Macaca fascicularis: one gene and its partner. The protein of the gene in region 1 interacts with the protein of each later gene in a pairwise test. Links are inferred from orthologs where the notes say so. Each region holds a gene or a part of one and is shown on either strand. Other genes may lie near its edges.

Region 1 (3,651 bases):
AATCGCTAACCCTCCGGGAGGCAGGGACACACATGCCTCCACTGCCAGGGTCAGGACCAGGACCCACGGAGGCCGCTGACCTGCCTGGGCTACCCAGCTACTGATGAGCAGCTCAGACGGGCTGGGGCTGCTGAGCTCGGGACAGGGTCTCCTGATTGCCAGGGCTGCCTGAAAGCACGGCCTGGAGGATGCAGGAGCACAAAGGCCCGCACGCAGCCCACCATGGGCATTCCCTCTGTCGGTGTAGGATGGAAGGAGAGGACTGCTGGAGGGGCTCCCCTCTCTGCACAGGTGAGCAGGGCGAGGTGGAGCCCCACACGGGGCACAGGGGCTGCATCTGCCTCGGGAGGATGGGGTCCAGGGCCTCCTTCACCTTCCCCAGCTTCTGGTCTGGGTGGGCTGCACGTGTCTGCAGTGTCTTACAGCAGCTATGGTAGGGTCAGGGAAGGGCCCCACACAGGCACCCACATGCCCCCAGCTGCAGGTAGGGTTAATGGAGTTCTCCTCAGGGGGGCTCCTGGATCTAGAGAAGCTGTCCCCCATGTCTTTTTTTTTTTGAAATGGAGTCTTGCTCTGTCACCCAGGCTGCAGGAGTACAATGGCATGATCTCACTGCAACCTTTGCCTCCCGGGTTCAAGCAATTCTTTTTTTTTTTTTTTTTTGAGACGGAGTCTCGCTCTGTCGCCCAGGCGGGAGTGCAGTGGCCAGATCTCAGCTCACTGTAAGCTCCGCCTCCCAGGTTTACACCATTCTCCTGCCTCAGCCTCCCGAGTAGCTGGGACTACAGGCGCCCGCCACCTTGCCTGGCTAATTTTTTTGTATTTTTTAGTAGAGACGGGGTTTCACCGTGCTAGCCAGGATGGTCTCAATCTCCTGACCTCGTGATCCGCCCGTCTCGGCCTCCCAAAGTGCTGGGATTACAGGCTTGAGCCACTGCGCCCGGCCGGTTCAAGCAATTCTATTGCCTCAGTCTCCTGAGTAGCTGGGATTACAGGTGCCCGCCACCGCACCCAGCTAATTTTTGTATTTTATTTTATTTTTTTGGAGATGGAGTCTCGCTCTGTCACCCAGGCTGGAGTGCAGTGGCGCGATCTCAGCTCACTGCAAGCTCTGCCTCCCGGGTTCATGCCATTCTCCTACCTCAGCCTCCCCAGTAGCTGGGGCTACAGGTACCCGCCACCACGCCCGGCTAATTTTTTGTATTTTTTGTAGAGACGGGGTTTCACTGAAACCAGGATGGTCTCGATCTCCTGACCTTGTGATTCGCCCGCCTCAGCCTCCCAAAGTGCAGGGATTACAGGCGTGAGCCACTGCACCCAGCCAATTTTTGTATTTTTCGTAGACACAGGGCTTCACTATGTTGGCCAGGATGGTCTTGATCTCTTGACCTCATGATATGTCCACCTTGGCCTCCCAAAATGCTGGGATTACAGGCATGAGGCACCACGCCTGACCAAGATGCTCCCCATTTCAGTGAAGCTCAATGAAACTCAACCATAACATGAAATACCCACTTGGGGCGTCCTGGAGGGCGGCGGTGCACAATCTTGAGCCAACAGAACCAAGCCCCGGACTCAGGAGCCTCAAAGACTCCCTGGGACAGGAGGGAGGAGGCGAAGGCCCACCAGGGGCACCCAACAGCTCACCCGAGCCAGCTCTTCCTCGTCTGCCTCGGACGGCCGGTGCTTGGGGCGCCGCTGCTCTTCCTCGTGGAAGACGGCCCTGGGCCTCTCGTCCTCTGACTCGCTGTCCGAGAGTGGCTCGTTGATCCAGGCGTCTAGGTCCAGGCTGTGCCAGACAGGAGGGTCACACAAGGCAGTGTGTGTGACTGAGCACGTGCCTGCAGGCGCCCACCCTGAGCAGGCTCACCACGTGCCTGGCCATGTGAGACCCCAAACAGTGGTGCCTGCTACCCACACAGGGCCAGCGAGGCAGGTGTCACTGCCCCTTAGAGAGCATGCAGAGACCCAGGAAGGCTACAGCAGGGTCACAGTGGGGCCCTCACGGCAGGTTCAGGCTGCCTCAGAGCTTGATGGCAAGGGTGGAGCAGGCCCACCTCCCAGGGAGCATCCCCAGGTTCCAGCCAGGTCCCAGAAGCAGAGAGAGCCCCGGTGAGTCCAGCGAGGGGCGCCCGCCCCAGGCCTCCAATCAGCCCCACACCCTCCTGGCTGTTGAGGGCTGCAATAGCCCCCTCTGTGCCTCCAGGCATCAGGCGACCACGTCAAGGCTGTGGTTGCAATGCCCCCACCCCCGTATCCTTACCCTTCAGGGACTGGAACCTTCTTCTGGGCCTTGGGGGCCACTGGGTTCAGCTCCCCAGCAAAGAGAGTGCTGACCTCCTCCGCCACGGGCACGTCCTTGGCCTGAAGCTTCTGGATATGCTTGACCAGCTGCAGGATGCAGGACGCCTGCGGGGGACGCAGGAGTCACCGCTGGCACCTGCCCGGAAGGCCATTTGGCCACCCTCAGGGACACTGGGTGGCTAAGCCCCTGGCACAGTGACATGCGGGCCCTCTGGCACAGCCAGGTACCCACAGAGAGCCCAGCCTTCATGCCATCTCCATTGTCATCCTTGACAAGCAGCGGCGGAAAAGACCAGTCCACAAACAGAACAGAGATGGGGGCACAACAGGGAGCTTTGCCCACTGCAGAAATGCCTCCCATAAGGCCTGTGCCCCGACACCAGAAGCACCACCTTGTTCGGCCCCTGCGGGCTCCCTGCCTCTGTGCTGGCTGCAACTCAGACACAGCCAGGCTGGGCAGCTCCAAGAGTGACCATGGGCCAAGGATCATGGCCAGCCCCCAGATAATGCCACTGCTCAGAGAAGCCCGGGGCCACACCCCATGCAGCCTTGACGCTGGGTCTCCTCAGCCACTGGATGGGCTGATGCCGCTCCCGATCTCTCTCACAGATGACCAGGCGCAATGTTTCACATCTGTAATCCTTGCACTTTGGGAGGCTGAGGTGGGAGGATCATCTGAGGTCAGGAGTTTGACCTGGCCAACAAGGTGAAACTCCGTCTTTACTAAAAATACAAAAATTAGCTGGGTGTGGTGGTGGGTGCCTGCAATCCCAGCTACTTGTGAGGCTGAGGCAGGAGAACTCCTTGAACCCAGGGGGCGGAGGTTGTCGTGAGCCGAGATCACGTCACTTCACTCCAGCCTGGGCAAAGGAGGGAAATTCCATCTCAAACAAAACAAAACAACAAACAGAAAAACAGAGACCTGGGAACTGGTGGGCACCAGCTGGCACAGGTGTACAGTCTGCTCAACCCAGAACCCACGTCACCTGCAGGGCACCAGAAAAAGCCACAGCCAGCCCCAGGCTCTCACACCTGCTGTCTCGCCGCCTGTGAAACAGGCTCTTCCTATGGCCAGGAGCAGCACCCCCACATACCCAGCACCCCAGAGACCTGCCCAGTCCCACTGACCTAAAGGTCCCACTGACTAACCCCAAACCCCAGCTGGCACAAGTGGCAACAAAGGAATCTCAGTGAGTGGCTTCAGAAGAGGAAGGGAGGCCCCGTCAACCTGGCCGCCACTAGACAGAAAGGCACTGAGGGCTCCCTGAGGCTTGGCCCAACGCCGAGTGCAGCCTTACCCGCTCCTGCACCTCCAGGTCTGCGCTCTGCACAAACTGGGGCAGCCGG
Region 2 (3,651 bases), on another chromosome or scaffold:
GGTGGATCTCTTGAGCCCAGGAGTTCAAGACCAGCCTGGGTGACATAGTGAAACCCTGTCTCTACAACAAAATACAAAAATAGCTGGGTATGGTGGCGCACACCTGTAGTCCCAGATACTACGAAGGCTGAGTTAGGAGGATCACTTGAGCCTGGGAAGTGGAGGCTGCAGTGAGCCGAGATTGTGCCACTGCACTCTTGCCTGGAGCTTGGGTGACAGAGCAAGATCCTGTCTCAAAAAAAAAGAAAAGAAACAGAACAGTAGGATCCACAGTTAGGGAGGCTTTAGGATCAAGGGAAATTAAAGTATAAGACAGCAATTTGGAAACTATAACTTGCTACCTATGTGTAAGGAGAATTCTAGAAAGAAGATGGTCGAGATCACAACCCTGAGGAACAACTTCAATTCAAGAGTAGGAATGAAACAGAGACCCCCAAGAGACATTCAGCCCAAGAGACAGATGAGCACCTTCTGCTCTGTGTGCTGTCCTTCCATGCTGGGATTGCAATAAGGAATCTGCATATTCCCTAGTCTCAAGCAGTTTGTAGTTTGCTGTTGTGTTTCACAAAGTATATTTGTGTGAATCACCTGCATCCAGACAGACTTGTGTTAAATACAGATTCCAGGGCCCTACCTCAGGCCTACGGAATCAGAATTTCAGGAAGTGATGCGAAGAGTTTGAATTTTTAGCAAGTGACTCATACTCTGCCACACAAGATGATTCGTATTCCCACTACAGTTTGAGAACCACTGGTATGTTGGGTGCTGAGCATGTTAACAAATAAGAGTAGGTTTAACAGTTAATCGAAGACTAGTAAAGCATTTGTTCATCTCTTTTTATGTTTACGTCATTAAATAAGAGAAGCTGGGCTTGTTAGGTGGGAAATAATAGCACATATTCATAGGCAGACTTAAGGAAAATAATCTTAAACTCATGCCATATTGTTTTAGTAATGTTTTGTTTATGAAGGGTCTTACCATTCCTTTCTTGTGGAAGCTTTGAGTTATTTTCACTTTGTTTCTATTATGGATAATGACTTTATACTGGCAGTGTACAGTAAAAGGATAAGATTATGGGCTCTAGAACCGTACTGCCTAGGTTTAAATTGCAGCTCCACACTTACTAGCTCTGTAATTTGGGGGAAATTATTTAAGTCATTTGTGCTTCAGTTTTCTCATCTATAATAGAAGTATCATAATAGTGTATAATCTCATTGAGTTGTGAGGACTAAATGGATTAATAATTATAAAGTACTTAAAATGGTACCTGGCACATAGATAGCAAAGGTACATAAAGATGTCTTCATTCTTTAATGTAGAATTAAAGCCTGCTGTTAAGTCTGTTGTTAAGTTTCATGTTATAGTACCTTGTTAGATATTATCTCCAGGTAGTATGTTGGCAAATGATAGTAAGTTACTTTTGAAAGATTATGTCAAATAAATATTCTAAATCTGTGTCTTTTTCCTTTTGATAGACTGAAGCCATGGCGATTCTTTTTGCTGTTGTTGCCAGGGGGACCACTATCCTTGCCAAACATGCTTGGTGTGGAGGAAACTTCCTGGAGGTGACAGAGCAGATTCTGGCCAAGATACCTTCAGAAAATAACAAACTAACATACTCACATGGCAAGTGAGTTCTGTTCTGCATGTGGTAAGGGATGAAAGAAGGGAATTCTGTTACTGTAATCAGAATGGTAGAAAAGCAGAAAACAAGCTTCTAGGTACATAATTTGAATAAGCTGACAGAATAGTAACCTTCAACAACTTAGAAAATATCTGGTTTTGTTACTTATAAATTTAACTTGTAATTATTTTATTCTGTTATTGAAGTGATATTGTTTTATTTTGAAGAAAGATATGGAAATGTTAAATATAAAAATGACTTTGCTCTAGAGCTGTGTGATATGTGAAATGATTCAGATAAGATAGATAATGTTCCTTTGTTCGTTCTTTCAGTAAATATTTACTGAGCGCTTAACTATTGCCAGGCACTTTGCTTGGTGCTGGGGATATAACAAGAAATGTAGTATTTGCCTCATAAGGGTTATAGTTTAATGAGGGAGGCAGTCAAATCCATGATGTCAAGGGTGGGAGGGTGGGAAGTAGTAGATAGGAGGATGGTATTCCAAGTAGAAGGAACAGCAGGTAGAGAAGTATGGAGGCATGAGATCATAGGGCGGGCATATTTAGGGAATTGCAGACTGTTCTCTGTGACTGGTGCCCAGGATGGTGAAAATAAAGCTAAAGAGAGATGGGTAGAAGAAAAGTCATGTAGAGCCTTGTAGGCCATATTAAGAGCTTGGACTTTACCCTGTGGGCAGTGGGAAGGCATTGAAGGTTTTCAGCCAGGATGTGACACAGTCAGGTTTTATTTATTTATTTATTTATTTAGAGACAGAGTCTCACTCTGTCACCCAGGCTGGAGTGCAGTGGTGTGGTCTTGGCTCACTGCAACCTCCATCTCCCAGGTTCAGATGATTCTCGTGCCTTAGCCTCCTGAGGAGCTGGGATTACAGGTGTGTACCACCACGCCCAGCTAATTTTTGTATTTTTAGTAGAGACGGGGTTTCACCATGTTGGCCAGGCTGGTCTCAAGCTCCTGACCTCAAGTGATTCACCTGCCTTGGCCTCTCAAAGTGTTGGGATTACAAGCGTGAGCCACCGCGCCTGGCCTTCAGTCAGTTTTTGCTTTAGAAAGATCACTCTGGTGACTGTTAGAGTGGCCATAGATGGGAAATCTTAGTAGTTAGTTTTAAAAAGTGCCTCAACCTTCCCCATTGGCACTTGAAAATCTTTTCTTACTTAACCCAGCCTTACTTCCTTAGTTCTTATCTCAGAATGAGGTCCTTATTACTTTCTATGGCTAACCCCTTATACAGTTTAAGGTCCACTCTAAGCTACTGTGAGAGAGACCCCCGAGATACAGTATTAATTTTAGTGAGATAGTCCAGAGATGAGTGGTTTGGGATGTTGGGGTGGCTCTGCCATTTCCAATTCCCTAATTCCCAAAGCGATTAGTGCTTTCCACCTCTGGCCAAGGCAGCTCCTTTGGTGCTTGTTATATCCCAGTGCTTGCCCAGTAATTTTAAAGGCAGGACCCAGAAGTGGCCTGATATTGTTGAGAAGTTTCTACTTACATCTTATTGTTCACTACACAGTCATGTAGCTAACATAGCTAGAAGGGAGGCCAGGAATTTTCTTCTGGCTATCCAGTCGTAGGCTCAACTAAAACTCTGTTACTCTGGAGGAAGTTATAGGATATCAGGGGATGACTTGCAGTCTTCCAGTCTGCTCTTCTGGCCACCCAGATATTTCAGTGAACCTTTCTTCCCAAACATAGAATACGCCTCTTCTCTGAGAAAGGTAGCTCAAAAGACCTAGTCACTGTGTTTGGCTCCAAGTCCAGCATGTCTAGGTGGTACACAGTCCTCTCCATCAGGCCCTGGTGTGGCTCCTGTGGTCTACTGACCATAAACTAAAAGATAAGTCATATGTTTTCCCTGCTTTCCCAGCCTAACCCAGTAGACAACGGTTCTGCTTTCTTGGAGGAACTCCCTCACCTTTTTTCCCTGACTCCTGGCTTTGTTCTACAAGAAGTTCTTCCTTTCTGGCCACATCCAAAATGGGAGTTAGAGAGTATATCATCTTTGG

What was found. The genes of interacting proteins can lie anywhere in the genome.
Region 2: the proteins of AP3D1 (region 1) and VAMP7 interact in a two-hybrid assay, tested with the Homo sapiens proteins (2 studies listed by BioGRID and IntAct). The link is inferred for Macaca fascicularis from reciprocal best matches to the Homo sapiens genes AP3D1 and VAMP7.

What each region holds. Positions count from the first base shown.
Region 1 is NC_088393.1:2,759,714-2,763,364, forward strand, and holds part of AP3D1 (AP-3 complex subunit delta-1), read right to left. Parts: coding exon 3,603-3,651; intron 2,410-3,602; coding exon 2,264-2,409; intron 1,790-2,263; coding exon 1,648-1,789; intron 1-1,647. UniProt on the Homo sapiens protein: Part of the AP-3 complex, an adaptor-related complex which is not clathrin-associated. The complex is associated with the Golgi region as well as more peripheral structures.
Region 2 is NC_088395.1:161,929,584-161,933,234, forward strand, and holds part of VAMP7 (vesicle-associated membrane protein 7), read left to right. Parts: intron 1-1,475; 5' UTR 1,476-1,484; coding exon 1,485-1,630; exon of another isoform or gene 1,631-1,646; coding exon of another isoform or gene 1,647-1,651; intron 1,652-3,651. UniProt on the Homo sapiens protein: Involved in the targeting and/or fusion of transport vesicles to their target membrane during transport of proteins from the early endosome to the lysosome. Required for heterotypic fusion of late endosomes with lysosomes and homotypic lysosomal fusion.